Linked DNA regions of Lepisosteus oculatus. The protein of the gene in region 3 purifies or fractionates together with the protein of the main gene of each other region. This does not show direct contact. Links are inferred from orthologs where the notes say so. Each region holds a gene or a part of one and is shown on either strand. Other genes may lie near its edges.

What was found. The genes of interacting proteins can lie anywhere in the genome.
Region 1: the proteins of chromatin complexes subunit BAP18 (region 3) and smarca5 purify together in Homo sapiens (affinity purification with mass spectrometry; 5 studies listed by BioGRID and IntAct, with this or other methods). This does not show direct contact. The link is inferred for Lepisosteus oculatus from reciprocal best matches to the Homo sapiens genes BACC1 and SMARCA5.
Region 2: the proteins of chromatin complexes subunit BAP18 (region 3) and smarca1 purify together in Homo sapiens (affinity purification with mass spectrometry; 4 studies listed by BioGRID and IntAct, with this or other methods). This does not show direct contact. The link is inferred for Lepisosteus oculatus from reciprocal best matches to the Homo sapiens genes BACC1 and SMARCA1.

Annotation. Positions count from the first base shown.
Region 1 is NC_090696.1:27,528,545-27,536,801, forward strand, and holds the start of smarca5 (SWI/SNF-related matrix-associated actin-dependent regulator of chromatin subfamily A member 5), read right to left. Parts: upstream 3,289-8,257; 5' UTR 3,012-3,288; coding exon 2,943-3,011; intron 1,514-2,942; coding exon 1,412-1,513; intron 1-1,411. UniProt on the Homo sapiens protein: ATPase that possesses intrinsic ATP-dependent nucleosome-remodeling activity.
Region 2 is NC_090703.1:42,609,938-42,617,761, forward strand, and holds the start of smarca1 (probable global transcription activator SNF2L1), read right to left. Parts: upstream 3,289-7,824; 5' UTR 3,182-3,288; coding exon 3,125-3,181; intron 2,115-3,124; coding exon 2,025-2,114; intron 1,532-2,024; coding exon 1,365-1,531; intron 1,081-1,364; coding exon 980-1,080; intron 749-979; coding exon 648-748; intron 1-647.
Region 3 is NC_090698.1:6,956,685-6,964,769, reverse strand, and holds the start of chromatin complexes subunit BAP18, read right to left. Parts: upstream 3,071-8,085; 5' UTR 2,871-3,070; exon of another isoform or gene 2,565-2,870; 5' UTR 2,440-2,564; coding exon 2,419-2,439; intron 1,024-2,418; coding exon 929-1,023; intron 1-928. Other genes in the region: ribonuclease kappa-B, read left to right, coding at 4,386-4,463, 5,981-6,063, 6,818-6,962. UniProt on the Homo sapiens protein: Component of chromatin complexes such as the MLL1/MLL and NURF complexes.

The DNA.
Region 1 (8,257 bases), on a different chromosome or scaffold from region 3:
CACTCTTTGATAAACAAATCTTGTATTTCATCAACGATGTAGCAGTTATAGGTAGCTACAGTTTCAAAGTTCTTAAAACTCACACCCTCGGTGTTGAGTGATTTCAAATCTGTTTGATCTGATGCTCTGGTAGTCATGGTAGTCAATAACTAGCACGTAAATAGTAACAAAACCCTCAAGCCTCAAACCTTTATTGTAGTTAAGATCTTGTCTTGAAGTCTGCAAGAGCATTATTTGGAGGGCTTTGAGAGAATTTTGAAGTCAAAAGAGGCTATACGAATAAAATAATTAACAAACACTGATTTTTTTTAAATGAAAGGAATGCTATTCTTTATGCTTTTAACTGTGAATTAAACCCAATTTTTTTTAAACTTAAGTCTTTTGATGGATGTCTTAAAACACTTAACAGAATATTGCAGTGACTTTAATAGAAAAAAGGCTTTTACTGATCATGTTGTTACAGCTCTGTTAATATTTACACACTGTCTCTGTGCAGCAAGTATAAAATCTCCCTCAGAAGCTTTAGTATTCAGTAAAATGTGCAAAAACGATGCATCCAGCCTGATAGCTCTGCTTCACCAGAAAACAAGTTCCCCTGATGCTTCGTAAAGTTACACAGGTGTTTATTAAAATACCCTTCTGCAATGAACATAAACATGAAAGCAAAGTTGATTATGTAAGCAAAGAAATTATGCCTACCCCGCTGCTTTTCAACCAGTTCTGTAAACCCAGCCACTTAACATGGCTGGCTCTTAACTGCAATCTGCACCTTTCTTTAGAGCACACCCAGTAGGTAGACTTGATACAGACATTGGTCACTCCTAACCTACCAGGATAGTTAAAAACCACCGCCTTTTCCGAAAGAGGCATTAAATGAAGGGAATAAAACACCAGCATGTGTCAGTATTTATAAACCACAACCTTAACAACAATAAATCCAGCATACACTTATTTTCATTGTTTAGCTGCTGTTAACTCTGCAAACACAAAAAGAAGAAAAGAGTTTTCCTCTTTAGCACCGCTTGCCTGTTGCCATATCAGAACACTGCCACAGTAGCATCTTTTATACTACTATCTAAAAATACTGTACTTTCATCACTGGAATTATGAAAAATTTAAACTTGTCATTCACATGGCCAGGATATACCCAAGTGCCCTCCACTTGACAAAATGTCTAAACGTGCCAGGTATGCACCATCTAAATATCACCTAAAACATTTATATAATGGACTGCATCCAAAAATAACTATTTGACTGGTTAAGTCAGAGGAGCTGGCTAAGACATTACTCTCACAGATCAAACTAAAAAAAATGGCTTTTCAAGTATAAAATCTTGAAAAGATATTCTTGAAGGCAAGACTATGTGGTGTGACAGTGCTAACTAAAAATAAAGGTTGTGGCAAGACATTACCATTTTCTTTTCATAGTCGGGAAACATTTCCTGTTCTTCCTTTGGTTTTAGGATGGGGGTCTCCACTTGACTGCCATCCTCATGATCAGATGCTTCTTCCTCCTTCGGGACAGGCAGATCGAAATACAATGTTAAAAACTTTAAAATGGAGAGCTGACCTGGTACACGGCTACAGAAACTTTACTTCTAGGCTGAAACACATTTACCAATCCTTGTTATTGTAGCTGAAGTGCAACAGCTGAAAATGTGCCTAGATCTGTAACCCGTGCAATACGTCTGCCAGATGTACAAAGCCCTATTCGTGATTATTCCAGAATGTATTAATAATGCCAGTTAACGAATGAGAGCTAAGTTACTGAACAAAAGCGAACTCTCACATTTTACGTTTGGACACTAGGTGTCTAAAACACGGTCAGAGTGGGAACCTGCGTCAGCAGGCGGACAAGAGGTTAAATCCACGCTGAAAAGTGAAAGAGGAAAACTTCAGGCTGACGCCGATTTCTTGACTAGCTTTCAACCCGGTTACCCGCGGCTCTCTCGGCCGCGGAAGAGCACAGACACACAGGAGTGGGCGGTTTGTATTGATGGTGACGTCATGGTTTCGCAGCCCTGAGAGGGAAAAACGGGAAGCTTCAGACCCCCCCAAAAAATGTTTCAGAAGTTGGTCGAAAATACTGAGGTGCTCGTCTCGAACCTTTATTCGCCTGGTATCAAGAAGCAGGGGTGAAAGACCGACTCGGACGGACACAAAACAAGCAGGGGTCCTCGACGCCTTCGTCCGCTCCGCTGCTCATTCATTCCGCGGATTCCCTCCCCGCGATGCCGCTGTGGTGTCGGCGAAGCGGCTGACTGGAACCAACCAGCCTGAGCAGCAACTAGGCCAAAAACTGACGGGCTGGGGAGCTGAAGTCCCCTCACACGCACATCACCGGTCCCTCCGCTCACAAAACATCACACAGGCGCTCCTTTCGGGAGCCACGTAAAGTTGCCGCACGCCTCGTTTTAGGACTTCGTTTCACGACAGAAGAGTCGAGAATCAAAAATAAAAACACACATCAACGCGGACGGGGTTCCTCGAAACTCCCGATTTCCAGGCTCACTCGATATCCGGAAAACTGTTTAGTGCTCAAGTACATCCCCAAGGCAGGCCGAGTACCGAAGCACCTCACAATAATCACAATTGGGTTTTTTTCTACTTCAAACAGGACACCATCACGACCACGCACAGCTGAAGCGTCCCTTTATTTCCTATCAACGCCGGTTTACTAAAAAAGTAAAAAAAAAACACCCAGTTTTTTCAACCGAAACATCAACGAGGTTGAAAATCCAGAAAAGAAACAAGAAAAAGAATGGAACCCACTACCAACCCACAACACAAACAAAAAAAAAACAAAACCAGAAACAAATCGAAAAGTAAAATCAGTCAAAAGTTCTGCATTCGCTATAAAGACGTCAGGCACTTCGGACCTGGCCATGTCAAGATGCTGGCCAGCCCAGTGGCCCCTCTCCGTGCTGCTATTGTTCCGCTCACCTCCTCTCCCTCCGGCTCAGCCTCCATCCGCGGCTCCTGCTCCACGTTGTTGTTCTCCGTCTCGGACATGCTTTGTCTCTCCTTCCGGATCCTCCACTCTTCTCTCTCGAAAGCGCCCAGCCGCGGGAGTCCTCAACTGCCTCGTACTCGGTAATCCGAAGAAGGGGCTCCTGAAACCGATTATGCGTAGAAAAAGATTTCCCTGACGGCAGCTCTTTTCTTTTCTGTCTCCCCAACACACGCACACACACTCCACAGGACAGATGAGCACCACCACGACGCCGCGGATCAGAAACCTTGCCCGGCTTTTCGGAACTGTCCCACCAACCGGGCTGAACTGCTAAGCATCGCGAGATGTCACTGCGGCCGTTCCTCTACGGAGGAAGAAGAAGAGTCTCGCGAGACCTTAAAACAGCCATAAGGGCAAGATTCGAGTACAGAGACAAGAGGCGTTGTATGTCAGTCGCTCATTCATTGTTGTGCTGTATCAATGATTTAATATTTAGTTACTAAAAGGTTTATAACATTCTCAAAGTCCTGCCTTTTTAGGGAATTTTTTTCTATCTGTCTGTTATTATTGTATGTATGTGTTAGACAATGTCTAAAGATGGTTTGCCGTGAAAGGCACCTTGTAAACGAGAAGTTTGGTGTTGAAACAAAACAAAACTTGTTCTGTATCTCTGAGAGTCTTACAATTTCTAAAATCCCGATTTTCACTTAGCTGTAGATTTCTTAACTACTGCTTGCTATAACAAAATAGTTCCAAATGGCTTGTACCCATTTGTATTTCTTGTGTTTTCATTTTCAAGAACGCTACAAGAAATCTAATGCTGGACTGTTTCTGAGAGACCCATTTTAAATCAGTTGCTCTAGCTTCGTTGTGTTGATCATTCAAAAATTTGGACAGAATAACAAAAAACAAGGAATAAATTAAGAATTAGATTGCCCTATTGTAAACTTTTGTGAGGGAAAAATATTATCGGTCAATCTAAATTTGTTATTTAAAGATAAAAAACACTTGTTCAAGCACCTGATCAATTAAGCAACTGATACAAAGAAGGGAACAATAGTTCTTGAGGGCTGAAGGATATTTGACATTTTTTTTTAAATAATCTGTGAACTGTGGGTAACAGTAGCACAGTGGTGCAGGGGTTTACTTTGTAGTGCTGGGGCCCAGAGTTCAATTCCTGGGGTGTTGTGTGGTTTCCTCCCACAGCCCAAAAGCATACTGGAAAGTTAATTGGCTTCTTTGAGATTACCCCTTTTGTGAGTGTGTGCTTCCTGGGTTAGGATCTGACTCCTCCACAAATTAGATATGAGGTTGTTGAAAGTTAACTGTTGACGTGATGTGAAATTGGTGATATAATGGTTGCCTGTAACACCCAGACAGGCAACCATTAGGCAACCAATAGGATTCCTATTGACGTTCATAGGTATATTACTATAGTTTTAAGAACCATAACCCAACAGATTTTCTAAATCTCTTCAAATCATCAACAGCTAAAGACCTAGGTAATATGCTAAATTAATTAAATTAGGATAATATGTAGCTTGATCGTGGAAATAAATCTGAGGTAGATCAAAATCCCACAAGCAATGTGCCCCCCCAAGAGGAAAGTTTTGCCCTACTGATATAAGCAGAGATGTGCCACACTGATTCCAAAAACTTGCACTGAGGTTATCAATCTGCCATCATACAGCACACCCCTAATCATTTCTTCACTTCAGGAGGTGGTGTAAAAAATGTGTCATGGAATAAAAAATCAGAGCTAACCTGATTAAGACATTGTTGTGCAACAGCAGTGAGGCCTGGATGTGATTTTATTTGTAAAAATGAAATTGAAAACACTGGTACTTAGCTAAATAACAAAGCTATTTTAATATTTTGTGGTTAGAATCAGCATTGATGAGTGCATTTCAAACCATAATAAAAGTCAAATGTACACTGTAACCTGTAAAATTTCATATTTACATCACAAAATAGATTAAAGTTCCAGGTATGCGCAGCGTGATCTGTATGCAGTACATGATTTACATTAGTCATTACATCGACTAGCGAGCAGAAAGGGCCGCATCACATCACAACCCGTGGAAACTTGATTGCGAGTTTGCAACAACATGGTGATTTAGTGCTTTCACAAAGTTCACAATTTTGGGCTTAATTCGAAATTTATAAAAATGTTTTTTACAACATCAATTAATTTATTTTGTTACTGAGATTTAATAACTGGTCCAAAAAATCAGGATTGCAGTTTGCCTTTAACATGTGGTATATATCTGCAACCCCCTGGCGTTGGACTGTCCCCAAGACCCCTTTCACTCCAGGTTCACACTTTCCCACCATTTCCCCCTGTAAAACCAGGAAGCAATTCGATCTTTTTCTCTTTCCCACCTCTGCGTCCAGAGTATGTCTCTCTTTCTGCCTTCTAGCCTGACCTGCTCCGTGAGTGGCATGCCTCGCTGTGATGAAAAGGGCAATAAAACTGTCAGTGAGTCTGACAGTCATCTCCAGCCTGCGTAATGCCGCTGCTGAAACGAGAGCTTGTGTTGCATTGGTGTAAAGAGTGGGATGCCCTGTCTTGGGTTGTAGGCGAAACCTGGAACACAGCAGAACAACTGCTGCTCAGACAGAGCCAAAGCAAAGCAGCTGGGGGGAGCAATGGACTGGCACAGATAAGGCATTTACAAGATTGCTCCCTTGTGCCTAGTGCAACAGAGGGTGACATCCAGCCCTGCTCCCATTTGCCACAGGGCCCTGCTGCCAGAGCTCCACAGAAGACGATGTCCAGCAGCACCCCAGCACGTCACTGGGACGAGGCCCTCATGCGATCACTGGCTGTGGGACCCTGCTCCCAGAGCACCATAGAGATTATCGCCCAGCAGAACTGTGAATGCTCCCCACCTCACATGAGCTGTGGACCCTGCTGCCAGAGCATGTGCCCTCTACAGAGGACAGCAGGGGTGCCGAAGCCACACTCCAAATGGTCAAAGAGTGGGTGCAGACCCACGAGTGGGCCACATAGGAAGAGACAACTGGTGGCCTCCCCATGGACAGTGAGCCGCTAGGTCCTGCTGTCAAGCCTGCATTTTCTAGAAAGGACAGGAAGGGAACCGAAACCAGGCTCCAAACAGTCCAAGAGAGGGTGTAGGCTACCCTGTGTCCTGCTAAACAAGACGACCAGATGTTTTCTCCATCCCTCTGACACCATGGGGAGACAGTCCGTGACGTCTTCCTCGGGCAGGCGAAGGCTGCGGGACAGTGGATCTGAGGACACTGCCTGGGCGGGGCAACAGGTGGGTGGGCCCATGAAAGGTCTTTGAGCAGGGAAAGAGGAGACCGCGCCCCTGTGTCCACACACGCATTGACTGAGTTCCCTCTGTGAAAGAAGACACCTCCAGAGATTGATCGTCCCAGCCCCATCTGATGAAGGGCAAGACCTCCCTGGTCACTGCACTCCAGTAGCCACTGGTGCTCCGGTCGGCCCCAGACCAGATCCCTGTTGCTCCTGCTGCCCAAAAGACAGTCCAATTCCAGGATTTCAAAGTCTGTCTTGGGGAAAGGGACTTGGGGGGCTGCTGTGTCATGGTCGACACTCCCCGGCGCTGCGCTGACTGTGCCCACACCCCCTCCCCTTTTACCCCTGGTCCACCCTTTCCTGCCGTTTTCTTCTAGAAAAACATGGAGCAATCCCTGCTCTCCCCTTTTCACCTCTGTGTCCAGAGGATGTCTGCTCTTCCTCTGCCTTCCCAGCTTTACCTGCTCCGTGACCCGCCGCAATGAAAAGGACAATAACACTGTCAGTGAGGCTGCAAGTTGTCTCCAGCCGAAACTGCCGAAATGGGAGCGTCTGTTGCAATAGGCGAGAGGAAACAACTCTTTTAGCCTGTAATTAACAGTTTGCCAGTCAGAAATGATTAACTTGCTGTGTTAGAAGGCTACAGTTCATGCACAGTAAAAGATTTGTGAGGGAAAGAAGTGAGGGAAACAATGTGTATCTAAATCCCACGAGGAGCCGCTTAGTACTATTCACAAAATCTGAAAACGCTGAACTTGGGTTTGGAGTGGAAATGAAATGGTACTTGAAAACTTGGATTTATATAGCACTGCAACAGCATCTGCTGAAGAGGAGGCAGCTGCCAATCATTCCACTCCCAGATAATTGACTGTTGATCTTCTCTCTATCTAAGTGTCTGCCGTCTCTGTAGCAGGGTGTGAGGTACCCAGTGAGCAGGCAAGCACTGCACACCTGGGAGCTCTGGTGAAAGGCTTCAGAGAGCACAGGACTTTCCGAACAGGCCGGAGAACAAACCTGCGGTCCGAGAGCTGCAAGCACCACCAGATCAGGGGCTGTAATATTGAGAAGACCACGAGCCTGGAAGACCACTTAGAAAACCACTGGTGACATATCTTAGTGGCTGAAGATACTTTGATTGACACTGCGAACTGTGCCTCAGAACCTCCAAAGTGTTTCCAGCTTACAGAATGAAGGGCACAACGACATTTAAATTTCAAACCCTGTCGGCTCCAGACCTCTGCTGTGCTCAGGCTGCAACAAGCAGCTCTCATCCTAAAGGATCCCACAGCACACTGCATGAAGGAGGGGACCCACTTCGCCCACCACCACTCAGGAACAGAGCCCTGGTAGCCTCTGTGGGCCAGAAGCACCACTACACAGCACATCAGTCAGAACTGTGCAATTCATTTACCATTTGAGCTGAGGGGATTCTGCAGGAAAGCCAGATTGTATAAGACAGTGGAAATTTTAGCCAGGACCCCAGAGTTAAAATCCCTTCTCTTTAAAACAGTTTAAAATTACATCAGAAGATCCAGTGCCACTTTCTACAACCCGGTGTCCCTGGTCATCACATTGAATCACTAATTACAAATTGCCCAGAGGGAAGAGTGCCACCTACTGACCATCTGCTAAACGGACCAGGCCCAGCCCTGCTGGTTTTGATCAGGTTACAGGGTGCTACTGTATCTCAGCCGCACGTCTGAACAGAGAAACCAAGCAGGACCAAAATTTCATTTCAGCAATTTCTGGGTGCAGATAATGTAAAGGGTTTGTGGAAAAACTTTGTGAAAATCTATAGACTTTTTATGGGACTTAAAGGAGTTGCTCGTGAATACTGCTAGGCAAAAGCTGTATAATTATGAAAACGTGACACTGTCACTTTGGGTGACTAATGAACAGTTATTAGACTGTGTGTGATCCTCAGTAGCTCCAAAAGACATGCTCTGAAACTCTCAGAGCCCCAAGAGCAGCAGAAGCAACTAAACAACAGTACTTGAGGACCACACCTGGCAGGAGTGC
Region 2 (7,824 bases), on a different chromosome or scaffold from region 3:
CTAGGAATTTAACATTCAAAATGTCACTTATTTGTGATTTGGCTTGGCCAATGGGATCTTTGACAAACAAAAACCAGAGTGGGATGAAGTTTGTGATTACTGTTGTTTGTTTTGTTGATCAATATTATTTTAATTAATGGCCTATTCAGTAGTATTTTAATTATCATAGTGTATGAGATAGGGTTACCTTTATCTTTTAACCATACTATGTACTGTAGTGCATTATGCAACAATAAAGGGGTGAACTAAGTTACAGTATACAGGTATGCAAATTTGGCTGTTTGTGATGGTTCTCTGTACCATACTCTCACAAATGTTAAGACCATCCTGTATACAGGAATATGAGAGGGGTAAAATAAAAATGTTGCAATCTCTCATGACAATGAATTCCAAAATATTCTATTATATTAATATATTAGTATTAGCTATTATATTAATATTCTACTTTGGAACTTACATGGGTTAGGTTATCTTATGTTAGGTTACGTAAGCTCCAGACTATTTAATTCAAACATTTTGTAAATATGATAGTAATTTAAAATTAATTCCTTTTCAGTGTAACTAATTATAATGGCAATTTCGCCATAACATCATTAATTCAGAAATTGCCCATTTTTTCTAGTTCAATTATCTCCTGTAGTTCATACCATCTCATCAGCCAGAATTCCATTTATTCCATTTTCATATAGGGATATCATCCAGTTCAGGCCTCGAATTTGGTAATCCCTCAGTGCTCCATTTTTAACATCTGGAAAACAAAATATTTGAAATAACAATAAAATCTGAGCATTTAGCAAAGCATTACAATTAGAAATGTCTTAATACAAAATCTATTACTGGATACGCCTGCTAAATATAGCCATTAAAATGGTAGCTTTTTTATCTGTAAGCATCATGAAATTGAATGTATTGGCCAAGCTATAAAAGATCATGACAGCTCAAGTAAAATTACTTAATTCAATATTTTTTTGTGCCTTACAAGATGGTGATTCTTCAAATCTGACCAGGACGTTTGATGTCTTTCGGCTCTCTGACAGCAACTCCTCATCCTCTTCTTGCTCAGTGCGTCTATGACGATTACTGAAATTTACACACACAAAAAAAAACCATTTAATATTTAATATATATGTATTCCCAGGCAATTTAAAGTGAAAAATAAAACAACATCAAATATTGGTTTAATGGGAAGAACTGTATTTCATTACCATTTAAATAATACAGACGGAGACCACAGTGGTACACTGCACTCATACACACAGTGGAATCGTGATACAAGTAAGCACTGAAATATAAATGCAGATGGTACTAATGTCTGTATTAAGTGGTACAAATTATTTCAAATAACAATCTTATTGATGACTTACTCCCCCACGGAGAGCAGATTTTGTTTTTCATCCTTCTTCATGCGAGGTCTCCCCAGCTTCACTTTCAGTGGAGATGTAGGAGACTTCTGTGCTGCTGGCTGAATAAAATGTGCAAAGAGCTCTGTCTGCTTCAATAAGAATTCAAATCTGTTAGCCCGATCTGTTTTCTGAAGGAAAAAGAGAGAAGAAAAAAATACTTTAAATCCTGTGTGTAGTTTGTAATATCTGAAATATACCTGAAGTATATTTCTGCATGTGTTTCTTATTTGCACGTAAGTTAAAGTTTACTTGTTTACTATTACCAGTTTAAAACAAAAGCAGTGCATTAAACCAAAATTTGAAACTTACAATGAGAGAGGAACCATTAATCTTTTCTTTTGAACATTTCACCAACACAAGTGAAATATGTTCTGTACATGTTCAGTAGAGTTCCCATGTCTCATCATTTATTATTGTAATCTTAGAAACTAAATCTGAATAAATTACAATGCAATTGCAATTTTGATCTATAACAGCTAACATCAAATCTAGAATTGAAATACATGTTTCTTTTGAATGGTATTATAGAACAGGTCACACAATTAAGGGTGAAAATTGTTAATAATATATCAGACAGCAAAATAATAATGCATGATACAGTATGTGCATTGAATTACTTACCCTCTTTTCCTCATATTCAGGGTCAACGTCTGCCTCTACTTTTGTTACCAGTTTGGGGGGAGGTTTGAGTTGAAAAGGTGGATCCTCTTTCTAAAGGCACAGAGTACATCAAATGATAAATGTAATGATTACTGTATGTAAATGACATTTTGTCACTTTGACTATTTTAGTTGCTTTGTTTGTGTATTGGATATAAGTTTTAAAATTTAAAATAAACTGCACATCTTTCAATATAAATGAAGTAATGTACTATTAATTTAGTAATAATACCCTAAGTATGAGTAGCATGGTTAGATGGTGAAGTTATTTATACCAAAACTGTATATGGACCTATATGTTTATGAATAATAGTATTATTTTATCAATGTATATTATATTAATTGGAGTTTTTTAGAATAGTAAAATAAGTCTCAGTTTTTCTCTGTATACAGCATACAGTATATGGCTTTTTCATGTTTCCTAAGTTTATTAAATAAATATAGTTGTCTCATTCTGTAATCAAAACATCCGAAACAGCATATTTTGTGTGTCTGAATTACCATTGGGGGCATTCTTCAGTACATTATTACATTAGTGAATTTTGACTGTTATGAAAGGGGAAACTTGCTATTAAGTCTGTATTTATAATGTACAGAACAATTACTTAAAACTGGACTGTGTCTGTTAATGTAACAGGTATAATAATTATACAACACAACACCTATTCGGTTTCCTATTCGACAGCAGGCTTTTTCTCTCGCAGTGCCATTTTACTGTATTCTTGAGGTACTGTATTAGGTACCAGCTTCTCTGCAAGACGCAGTGAGTGTCGTTTTCAATTTTCACGCCCACCTGTATTTCTTTTGATCGGTACCTGGGCTACTATACTAACTGTAGGGGTTAGGTGGTCAGTCATGCTTTGTTTTAATATAATAGGTTGTTTTTGTATCTTCTAAAATACAGACTGACATCTGTCTGCAGATGTTGCGTGCTTCCTTCCCGCCATATTCCCCAAATGCAAAACGAAGCAAAAAAAAAAAACAGCAAACTTCGGTTCTGCAATGTCTACTTCTTTTACACAGAAGCTTACTGAAAAATACTGCACATTATCCTTCCCTCACCTCCTCCGAATCAGGTTCAGGCTCCCGGGATGTTGACGGAATCTCTTCGTCTGACATTGCTCCTATACTTGTTTAATCTTGACTCAATTTTGATTTTTACTGTAAGTTAAAATAATAAAATACGTCACCATCTGACTGTACATTTCGTAGCATCCGCCCCCTTATACATATAATTAAATCTCGCGGAGTTATGGCAACGTAACACCGCGAGAAGTTAGTCCGGTTTTGACTAGAAAATTCGGACAGAAAGGAAATATATTTCCAGACGTTGAGTTGGATTTCGATTCTAAAGGCTTAGCCTAGTATTTTAAAAAATGCACACACATAATGTCATCTATTTTAAAACACAGAACTGGTGTTGATACTGTACTTGTGATCTTTCAAATGAGCTTGCGCCCTGTGTGATTTTACTTTTTAAGCGCTAGTTATTTGTATTTTATTTCTTGGAGTCGTAGTTGTTTTGATACAACAAATCTTAATACAATATATCTAAAGAGCTATGCCAAGATGTGTCAAATGCCAAAATAGTAAACGTAGTATACATATTAGTGGAAAGGGAGAAACTGAAGCTGTTACCGAATTAATGTGAGAATATTCGGTTTGTTCAATAAATATGTCCTACTGGAAGAACGAAGTAGCAGTGATCCGTACCACTGCAGTGTCGAGATATTTTGAATTTAAAGCAGGAGTATAATAAAAAAAACTCGTACACAACGACGTTTAATCAGTTAAGAATTATTGAAAAAATAACAGGTCCTTTAACATACTCTCGCCCAGTCTCATTAATATATTTTATTAATATTGACATAGAATTAGCACTTAATGCTAATAATTTTTGTTTTTGTTGTATTCAATGTGTGTTAGATTCTTTTAGATTTGTATTAGCTCTGTTATTATACTATTGGATTATTTGACACCTTTGTAATGTTCTTGCAGTGATCATTGTACCGACATTTAAATAGTACTTGCATTTATTCCTGTAAATCGCCCTGGATAAGGTCATACGTCTATCGAATAATAATTTCACAGTTTTCTTAGCGCAGGAAAAATGTTAAACAGACCACTAGATGTCACAAAAGCCTAATGTATTGAAGTTAGAAATTTGAAATCTGCTGTAATCTATGCAGGTCTGAAGTTTAGTGAGAATCATTTATGTCACCTTTGCTTTAATCAAAACCTTAAGCAAATAGTGTACTGTAGTTGTCCAGACCACACTAAAACCTTAAGGCTTCTACTACTTACTATCTTTAGTTTCCTCACCATTTTTCATGAGCCATATACAGTACATCAGCTGCTCAGTTTTCTAACCCCTTTATCCAATATAGGGTTGTGGGAGAGCCAGAGCCTTTCCCAGCAACCAACAGGCACAAAGCAGGATACACCCTGGACAGGATGTCAATTCATCGCAGGGCACACACAGACACACACTAATTTCAAGGCCAGTTCTCCCAGAAGCCAAAAATCTTACCAGTATATGACTTTTGCCTGTGGGAGTAAACCAGAGCACATAGTGAAAGCCTGCATGACCATGAGGTGAACATAAAATCTTCTCACAGATAGCATCCCACGTCCAGAATTTAACCCAGGTCCCCACTGCTGTGATGCAACAATACTAACCACTGCGCTACTGCACCACCCAAGCCATACTGTATACAGTTACATAAAAAATATGATTATCTATTACATACTGTATGATGAAGTCATCATAGCCAAGGTCTGAGATCATGTGTAAATAACGAAGCCAAGTAGTTATATATCAATAAGTCTTACTTTTATTATATACTGTATAAGGGTATGAGAAGTGAACTAGAGGATCATTTAAATGGATTCTACATGAAAATCCCCATGGGTCAAAAGATAGGTCTTGCCTATTTAACTTGTTTAAATTCTTTTAACAAGCAACAGCAGTAACAAATACAACCATAGCACATAATATACATTTAGGGTTTTAGAAAGCTTTTAATAAAGTTCTTCATAAAGGATTAGTTCTGAATTTGCAGGCATTAGGTATTTAAGATGATAGATGGATTTGGATTAATTACTGGTTAATAAAGTAGATAGAAAACAAAGTACAGATAAGGTATAAATGCTAAAGAGCATAATGATCTTAGTGGAGTGCCACAGAGATCTGTATTGGGACCGCTGATCATTTTAAGTTTCATCAATAAACTAGATTCTGGTATAGTTAGTAAACTATTAACTTTCGCAGATTATACCAAATTAGGAGGATTAGTAAACATACAATAGAAGAAGTAAATCCTGTGGCCTCCCAGGAGCTTGTAGTGATGTGGTGCTGTCAGCCTAACATCTCTATCATGGGCTGTGTTGTCTTCGACATGTTAAGTGTTAAAAGAGCATTGGCTCAACAGTGGGTTGTTGGAGGACCCTTGGGTGGTGGGTATGGTAGCTGAGTCTTGAAGAGCACACAACTGGCTGGTCCAAATTGGGTGGCTGTGAGGCTAACAGCAACAAAATAGGCTAGATTGAACAATTGGCCAATTTTTAATATTTTTTTTTCCGAGTTAGATGTTCAGATAGAAGGGATAGTGTAAATGAGATGAAGTGGGGAACTGCCTCAATGCAAGCTGGAAAGGAACAAGTTGAAGTTAATACCATGATAAGGAGAAGCAAAAACACAATACTTTAGTCACTGCTAACATGCTAATTTAGAATTTAGAACATGCTTATTACTGTACATACTTTTATGAATATACAATATATAATGGAATACTTGGCAAAAGTATTCATTTCCCTATGAAATGTCCATATTATGTTGCCATCTGAGATGGAATTGATCACACTTTCAAATATTAATTTATATTAAAAATTTCCATCATACTGATAAAGCTAATACATTTTTATATATAAAATGTATATATATATACATGTTATATATAAATATGTTAGATTTTCAAAGAACATTAGACAATTTTCAGTTGAATCCCTGGGCTGTGGCAACCCCAAATCATTTTTGGCGTAATTGATTACTTTGAAACATCTCAAAATTAAACAAGTGGCCTCTAACAAGCATTATGTAATCAAAGTGGTTCAGCTTGGTTAAATTAAATAAATGTATCTGTCTGTGTAAGCCTCTTCAGTTAGAAATTGAATTTTAAGCCACAACGCATACAGTGATACTTCAAATCAACCATGAAGACCAAGGAACCTTTAAAACACATCAGTGATAAAATGGTAATGAAGCACACATCAGAAGAAGGTTACAAAAAAGTTTAAAAGTCATTGATCATCATTAAGAAGTGGAATGTGTATCATAGTCTTCAGATCAGGTAGCTCTTCCAAACTGAAGAGGCAGTCAAGCAGGGAACTGGTTAGGGATACCATTGTGAAGTCAAAAGTAACTATGAAAGTTGTGCAGATTTCTGATATGCAGGTCAGTGTTCATACATGAAGAAAAGTGATTACTGAAAAAACGTCAACAAAACATGTACAGTAAATGATACTACAGACATGTAGTTGAAGAATTTGGGCTCAGATGAAACAAAACCTTAGATGGAATTTGGTCAAAATGCATAGTGTTACCATAGTATGTCGTCTGCTGTAAGTTCTAAAACAGCATATCACCCAGTCAGCACCATCCCAACTGTCCAGCAGGGTCATGGTAGCATTAGATTGTGGAGATGATCAGAGACTAGGACGTTTTTCGGGGGGAAGACAGTTCAAGCTCCTGGTAAATTCTAGAAGAAAAAAAAGAATCCAAGCCAGGGTAAAAAAAAAAACACCTCTTTTCAGCAGGACAGTGAATCAAAGCACTAAGTTACACTGAAGAGGATTGGTTTGAATTGAAGCCTACAGAGGAAGGGTAAATTTAAGAATAGCCCAAAAACCCTAGCCAATATCTCTTTGGAGGTAGAAGGAAACTTGAACACCTGCTGGAACCCTACATAAATATGGGAAGAACATGATATCATTGGGGGAAGCACAGTTATATATATTCTATAAATTCATAAATAAGATTATTTTATACAGTATATACTGTACAGGATTTTGCATTGTTTGAGTTATTCAAGTCTATTGTAGTCTGAACTGTAGTTTATGTTAGGTATGCGAGATCTGGTTTTAAGAACGGACCAAGTTATGCAAATTAACATCCAAGTCATTTTATGTACAGCACTTAAGTTGTATTAAAATTGACAAATGTTAGGCCACCAGACTACAGTACAGTAGTCTACAGTACAGTACATTCCACAGAACCCAAGTGAAAACAATATATTTAGCCTTATCAGTTATAAACCTCTCTACTAAAGCACTGTATTGCACAAAGCACATAGACTGCATATTTGCAACAAAGATATATATTTAGTAAACACTCACACCAAACATTAAGTCAAAGCATTGGAGATATACAAATTGGTCTTGGTCAACCAAGAATTCAGCTAAAAGGATCAGATATACACACAGACAAATACATTAATTCCAGTGGTTCACTGTTGGATGTTCGTGCAGGAGAATTCAATCTTTCGTAGGTTTTTTTTTAAAACTTTAATAGGAATTGCTTCACAAAGGAGTTATTTTCACTATTGTGTGTATTGAAGTATCTTTTTATGTTAATCTTAAAATGTTCACTGGTTATAAGCGGCTAAACGAGCTGCTCACATAATCAACTATTCTCTCTACATCTTTGGCAGCAAGACAGACAGGTCGCTGTGAAGTGTTCCTGAATTTCTTTCAATAATTCAATT
Region 3 (8,085 bases):
TTGTTTGTTTGTTTGTTTGTTTTGAAACAAAACAGAATCCCTTGCAGGCTTTCGTTTTCTGCACAGATGCCTTACTATGGGGCAGCCCCTCTCGCTGGGTTTTCCGACGAGCTCTAATGAAGACAGTGGAATGAGGGGGGGCCTTCACGCACCTCGGCTCGGCTCGGCACACCCCACACCCACCGATTATGCTGGGCTGAAGATCTATTGCCCTTCCAAGACATACCAGCAGCTGAGCAGAAAGCTCACAGCCCAGCACGCACAGACCCATCCATTAGAGGTTAAAAGGGATTTGCATGGGGGGGAGGGCACATGTGAGCCCCGCAGGGGGAAATAACTGGCACAACACATGGCTTAAAGCCACCACAGCGAGCAGGAAGAGCTCACCGTCGGCGATGAAGGAAGGGGGGGAGCCTTCAAAACAGCTGGACACGGCAGAATGATTCCGTCAGACTCAAGAGAAAACCACTTATGAGGAGAGTTCAGTGTGTGGCAGCTCGTCACTTAACGGTCTTAAAGTGGACTGGGGATGCACAGAAAGCAGCCTGCAACTACACACGCATTCCAGAGATGGACACCCTCAGCTCCCAAGGGCGGCTGGTTTTCATTACACCTTTGGTCATAACTTAAGCGAGCTAAATGGATAATTAGTCAGCTGAGCTGTTTTCTTAAGTCCTAACCACATGCTAAGTGAATACTACCTATAAACTCCGCAGGACTCCAAGCTCTGGTGAACTGGAGCGGCCCACACTGCCTTATATGGTCAATCTGAAGGAGAGCTGGGGAATGAAGCAGATCATTTACCCACACGAGCCGAGCTCTGGAGCGGACACTGGAAGACAGGGTGGCGGCAGCAGCATCCTCGGTACAGGATGGGGAGGCCGAGGCCGGAGTCAGCCCTGTGTACAATGGCGTCATGGCGACTCACCCAGCCGGACTGGAGTCAGCCACCGGGTGCAGCTGCATAGTCAACTCCCCCAGTTTGGTGAAGGCAGCACCTGCTGCGGAGAAGATCTCCCCCACCTGCAAAAGACGGACCATCAGGCACACAGAAAGGCAGTGCAAATTCTTCCACGGGCAGGTGCCCCAAACCGGACTGACCCGTGAAGCCAACAGCTCCCTCTGAACTTTGACACCTTCAGGTTCATTAGGAAGCACCGGTCTGTGCAAGCCACCCAAAACTGATGGGAACGTCCAGCTTATTACAGAGTTAGACGAGCCTTATTACAGAGTTAGACAATTGGTTTCCAACCCTTTCCACACAATTGTTAAAAAAAAGAGGAAAAAAATATTTCAAGCTACTACATCATTGGAATGACAAGAGAAGCAGAGCCGAGGGCTGTCCAACTGGACGAGGCATGTCCAGTTATCAGAGAAAGCCACCCTAGGAGTTAACAGCATCACCAGCAACAACCTCGAGAGATCTTTACAGCCCGTTCAGCCTTCATATACAGTGAAACACGAAAAATGCATTCAGCTAGTGAACCAGGCAGCCGTTGTTTCCCGCGTGATTTTTCAACTTGGAGTCTGGAGTTAACTGCTTTGGGAAAACGAACCTATGTTGTACAAAAAAAAAATAGAATATTTAAAATATATATCTTCAGGGGTACTAGAGCACCTTGGGTTCGGCTGTCAAAACCGCACTGGGCTCATCTTGAAGCTATAAAGAACCGTCCAGCTCATCGCAGCCTCGACACCTCGTCAAGGTACAATAAAGGAAGAAAGGACGAGGAGGGAGAGGGAAGGACGAGGCGCCACGATCCACCAGCGACACCGCGCGGCCGACACCGGGAACTGCGCATCTCTCCTCCGAGCAACAACTGAAGTTCGCCAACTTCTCACCGAACCCCGCGTGTAAATACGCCAGACGTGCATCAGAACCTCAAAGAAGAAACCGGGTGGGGACCTGTTTTCGGGTTTTAAAAGGAGTGCGACATCACCTGAACAGCCATTCAAAGTACAGAACCGAAGTAACCGACAGGGTCATGTGGATAAAAAGTATCGTTTTTCTCCAGCCGCTTACTCCCGACTCGTTTGAAGACGATTACAACAACGCCGTGATACATTACTCTATTTAGCAGCGCGGAGCTGTGGTTATAGGACCCTAGACTCCTGACGGGAAGACAGAGTTTAAATCCAAGGCGCTGGACTTCTCTTCTATCACTGTACAAGCTACGTAACCCGTATTTCATCAGTAAAATGCCAACTGAATTAGAATAAGGCTCGGCATAAGTTAAAAAAATATTTACCAATGCCTCGAGATTCACCCTAAAGAGATTCTGATAACACATCACAATTTTTCGTTTTCGGCTAAATAAACTGTGCTTTTGAGACGTTCCGTTAAAGAAAACGCGCTTTGAAAAGAATACCCCTGAAGGAAACGGGCAATAGAAGGTGGTATGTTCTCAGAGCACCTACCTTGGTCGACGCTGAAGTCATTTTTTCCCACCGAATACTTGGAAAGGACAAATAAAAACACTCCGGGGTCTGCAGAGGGTCTAAATCATCTAACTGCGGTGGCACATGCTGGGAGCCCTCCAATGCAAAACACAATCAAACAGATACTACATTGACTAAGCTTAGAAGCAAAATACACTCTGCCAGTGTAACTTCAGAACGATGTTGCTGTTGCTTTCTTTTCTGAAATTAAAAACGTTGTGCTTTACAAATGCAAGTGCACTGTATTTCCCCCCCCGTACTGCATGTCAAAGCACAAATTAAACACTTTATTTTCTACAACGTGGACGTTACAGGAAAGAACTGGCATGAAAGTCGCATCGCGCTTCAGGTTAAACTATATTCTGTGTCCATTCAGTACAAAACAATACCCAGGCCTCCTTCACTCCTATCATTATGACAGACGTACAGACCTCGGAAACCTGTATAACGCTCCCCCGGGGGTGAAAACAACCATTTTGATCATGCCAACGAAAAAAGCGGACTTCCTAGCCCATCTAGTGAGCCCATTTCTGCCAATTTTGCTCAAATTAAAATAAAAAGACAGCAACTAGAGCGCGAGCAGGAAACCCCAGCCACCCGCGCGGCTTGCGCTTCTATTGGTCCACAACCGCGGTTCTCGGCTGCTGATTGGCCAAGGCTGCGTGACACTCATTCTGCGGAGTCCCGCCCCGCCCTTACTCTATTAGACACAGGCTTCGTCAGTCAAGACGCATTTTAACTGCATTAGAGAGCAGCGGCTTCAGACTGTTATAAGTGGTTGTTAGAATTTCTCCCAGCCTGATCCGTGATTTGTCCATTCTTCGCATATTGATGGTCAATAAGTCAATCACGGTATCCATTTTACCGTTCTGTGTTTTTGGGCGCGATTGTGTGTGCATTTAAATTGTTGTCAATCACCATGTCGTAATGCATTATTCGTGTTGGCACAATCTTAGACTTACTTTACAAATAGTGTAAATAATAAATGTTTTTATAATACTTTTTGAAGTTTCGTAACATTAATAATATTTTATGTTTTGGGAATACTTGTTCTAAACCACTGACGCCCTATTAGCGCTGTGTCTAAAAGTATACGTAAGGTGATGATGGGCAAGCCCCTGTGCTTTGTAGCAGGATTGTATTTACTATCTGTCTTTGTTAAAAAAAAACTATTTTGGGAACATGCACGTTCGTACTTGTTTCAGCCATTTTGCGCCAGTTCTCGGAGTCGGCCTCCTGACGTCACAGCCCCCCCCCCCCAGGCTGGTGACGGATTTTGCCGTCACATGACCGCTCCGGGCTGTGCCATATTCAGAAAAATAGGAGGGGGAAGTAGGATTTCAGTCCTCCAAGGGTAAAATAATCCTATCTATTTTGAAAATAGTTAATATAGCATTAATATGTAGTTTTTAAACCTGTTATGTATTAGCTCCCTTTTCATCAAGGAAACTGTTTGCATAATATGTGTTATAGTGACCCTATGCTTCATAAATTGACACGTCTAATTTGGAGCCTTCTAAGAGGAGGGAAGTATCTTTATGGTCCCGTAAAGAAAGGTATCCACTATAATACCTAACATTTGAGTAAGTTTGGAAAAAGCTGCAGCCTAATAAGTATAATATTTATTTCCTCATCTCTCCATAAAGACTATGTTCCTGAGGGGTTCTCGAAGAATATTTCTTACCTTTATACCCCTCTTTTCAGACAGTGGTAGCTGTCCTGCCGGTGGGAGCCGAGTGTCTCCGGAAACGGCCGAATACCCCGTGCAGATCAGCTGAGAGGAGGTCACAGCGGTCCGTCTGTTTTTATTCAGACGGGCGACTGTCTTTCGACAGAAGGCAGTTTGAAAGTATAGCCGATGAAAAGCGGATTCCGGACTTGAAGGGAGTATAAAAGAGCGCAAAATAAACAAATAAGAAGCGGACATCTGTCTCTTCAATAAGGCAATGGCGTCCCTTTTATTTTGCGGTCCCAAACTGGCCGCCTGCGGAATAGTACTCAGCATCTGGGGAGTCATTATGCTGGTAAAATTACATTTTATTATTATTATTATTATTATTATTCATAGTAGAGAAAATGCTGTTTATACTTCGGTTTCTGTACGCCTGTCTCCTAGCTGCTCTGACAGATGTGATATATAAACGTTTTGTATTCGTTTCGTTTCGTGAATTGCACAGTAATTAACACTTCCCTTTGGGAAATCCAGAAGCCATCGAAGGTCGTGAGCTCCGCGGAGGTTATCCTTACCAATACGTGTTTCAGTATTCAGCATCATTTAGCTACGATTAAGACGCGACAGGGAGCGGTGACGTTCAGTACGCTAGCTAATTGCATGGCACTTGAATCAATCGCAATTGTTCAAGTCATTTCTTTATCCCGTCGTCTGTTACTTCTAGTCCCACCGGTGTTAGGGACAGGGTCACGGGTTCAGTGACACCACGATCTTGTGATAGTGACTGCGAGATGAGCAGCTTCTGAAACATCCATCTGTGTCTGTCTGCCTGTTTCTGTGGGGTTTTTTTTATCGTTTTGCACGTTGTTACATAAAACCTTTGCACAAAGATAAACGGCCGGGTGAATGTGTTACGGAGACCGTGGAGTCCAGTTTCAAGTTCCCTCTTTCTGGCTTGGGAGCTGTGGCACGGTCTCCAGTGGGGAGGAAGAAGTGTTTCAGAAAGGCGTCCCAGAGGACCTAATTATAGTGTGAACACTCACAGGCCTCAGTACTTTCCATCTCTCTCAGAGTACTTAGAAGTATTTCAGTACGTACACAGATGTCTTTAATTGATCAATGCTAATTTGGAAGATAGTGGCTGTTTGCACAGTTATCTGAAGATGATAAGGAGTGTGGAGCTTGAGGGCGGCCGTTTTAGTGCTGCATGTTGTCGGTATTATTGCCCAAAGCAGCTCGCTGAAGTTTTTCATTTTTTTATTCTCCGCTCACAAATTAAACTGATTGACTAGCGCTCCGCACTGACAAGACGATGACCGGCTACACCTTTAACTCAGCCTGGTGACAACCACGTAAAGTGGAGAAGCACCAAGTCAGTGTGTGATGTCTGTATGGCCACATGTCATTTTTCCAAGGATTAATAATAATAATAATAATAATAATAGCTTACACTTATATAGCGGTTTTCTGGACACTCCACTCAAAGCACTTTTCAGGTAATGGGGACTCCCCTCCACCACCACCAGTGTGCAGCCCCACCTGGATGATGCGACGGCAGCCATAGTGCCCCAGTATGCTCACCACACACCAGCTCTCAGTGGGGAGGAGAGCAGAGTAATGAAACCAATTCATGGATTGAACCAGTGTGTAGAATCAAGGACCTGTTTTCTCAGTGTCAGCTGCCTGCAGGAGGATACAGGTAGCTGAGACTTGCAGTGTTAGGAAGTCACTAGGCGGGCAGTGTTGTGTGTTTTGTACACACTGGGCAGCTGTTTGCAGTGTTTTGTATTGTGTACCTGTTCCAGATATAGGCGGATCAAACCAGTGCGTTTAACCTTGCTGTCTTGCTTTCGTCCTCCTCCACACCAGTTGCTGCTGGGTATCTTCTTCAACGTCCACTCTGCAGTGCTGATTGAAGACGTGCCCTTCACTGAAGATGACATGCTTCTAGAGTGAGTGGATTAATATGATGAGCTAGCCCGTCCCAAATACCCTGTTATACAATTGCATCATCTGTTAGACAGTTGAAGGAAGCAGTAGCCTTGTAGCCTGCTCTCATTAAACTGAGCTGTTAAGCACAATACCCAATAATGGGAGACACTACAGAAGGTTTGCTGCTGTAAGTGTAATTGCTGGACCAGTAGGTGGCGCTTTTTTCTGTGGCTCAGTAGGATAACCTAGTGTGGTGGAGATGCTGACCTTTAGATGAGACATTAAATGCGGGATCTGTCCGCTTGGTAATTAAAGAGCCCTTGGCACTGTTGGAAAGAGAAGAGGAGTTAACCTCCTGTGTCCTGGCAAAACATCACTCTGGTTTTGCACGTTTTGAAACAAAGATACAGTCCAGCATTGAGGTGATGGGGTCAGATTGGACTTGTGGTGATGGATTCTTGAAAACGTCCTGGAAAGCAGTGAGATCTACCATCAAGGCATTTGTTTTGAGATGCTTTGAGTTGCATACAGTAAGGTCATAAAGTTGCAGACAAGGAGCTCCTGTCGGTTCACTCTGCTTGCCAGCTTGCTAAGGTAGCTAATCGGTCTGGGGATCTTGTTTAGCCATTTCTGAAAGGACTTAGGAGTTCTGCACCCGTAACACAACTTGGCAGCCTGTTCCCCACACCCACCCCGCTTTGTGTGAAGTGGTCATTCCTGTGATCTCTCCCCGCATCGCTCTTTCTTACCTGCTTTGTCTCTGTTCCCATGCAGTAAAAATCCTCCTCAGAAGATATACGGGCTGTATGACCAGGTCAGCTACAACTGCTTCATCGCTGCTGCCATCTACCTGCTGGTGGGGGGTCTGTCCTTCTGCCAAGTGCAGCTCAACAAGCGCAAGGAGTACATGGTGCACTAGACTGCCTCCTGCTGGCCTGGCCCAGCACTGCACCGAGGGGCGGTTTTACTGCAGGGGCTCGTGGAGGGTCTATTGTCTTCTCTTTTTGTTTTTCCAATGAACCAAATTAGTCTCTTAGACTAATACAGGATTGTTTGTAAGTCTTTGACTCAAAAGTCAAGTAAAGGCAACCTTACAGTCCAGGTCATTACAGTGATTCTGTGTGACCAAAACATTAATTGCTTAATTGGACTTTAATCACATTTTGGACTCCGCTACTGGGCCTTTTGTTTTTCTTTCCCAAATCCAAATCCAAATAGTTGTATTATTAAAAGATCTCTGTGACAACCTCTAGGACTGTATTTATTAACCGATGGATTATTATTCCTGTTTTGTTATTATGGCTTTGTGTGGGATAACACTGTCACAATTCAGCTTGGTCTGTGAGCCCCCCTCTTTTCGTCGGTGATGTGCTGATGTTGGGTGGCAGTAAAGTGCAGTCGTCTTTCTTTTTTTTGGGTGTAAAAGATTTTATAGTCCGTGTTATTTCTGTGGCTGTGCCGACAGTCTTAAAGCAGGGAGATGGGAAGAGCCAGATACTATAGAAACCTCCCTGATTACAAGACTGCTGCATCTGTGCACAGCCAATCCACACATCCACATGAAACCCTGCCTGCGTGTTGTAACATATTCTAGAAAAAAAAGACTGTATTGTTCATTTGAGTTGAGAGCACTGTAAGTCCAGTAGAAATGAGAATGTATATTTCTTGTCATTGTTTATTCATTCCAGGTGTATAAAATTGATGGTTGAGAATACTTGGTGCTGTGCAGTGCTGGACTGGACTGTTTTCTTTGGCTCCTGGTTCTGTTGATGAAATTCTGTTTGTTTGTTCCCCCTATGCTCTGTCTGTTTGCTGTTGGACCCGAGTCCAGCTCAGTCCTGTGTGAGCTGCAAATAAAGCTTCCCATGAAGGTGTAAGTCCTCTGAGTGCATCCTCTGTGAGTGTGGGAGCTTCGTGTTAACAGCAGATCTGTCCATCTAGCTGTATGTCCGGTATATTGATCTGCTTATCCTTGCTACCTGTGCATCTAACTTACTGTCCAATTAGCTATAATAATTTTATGCTCTGTCCTCTGTTTATCT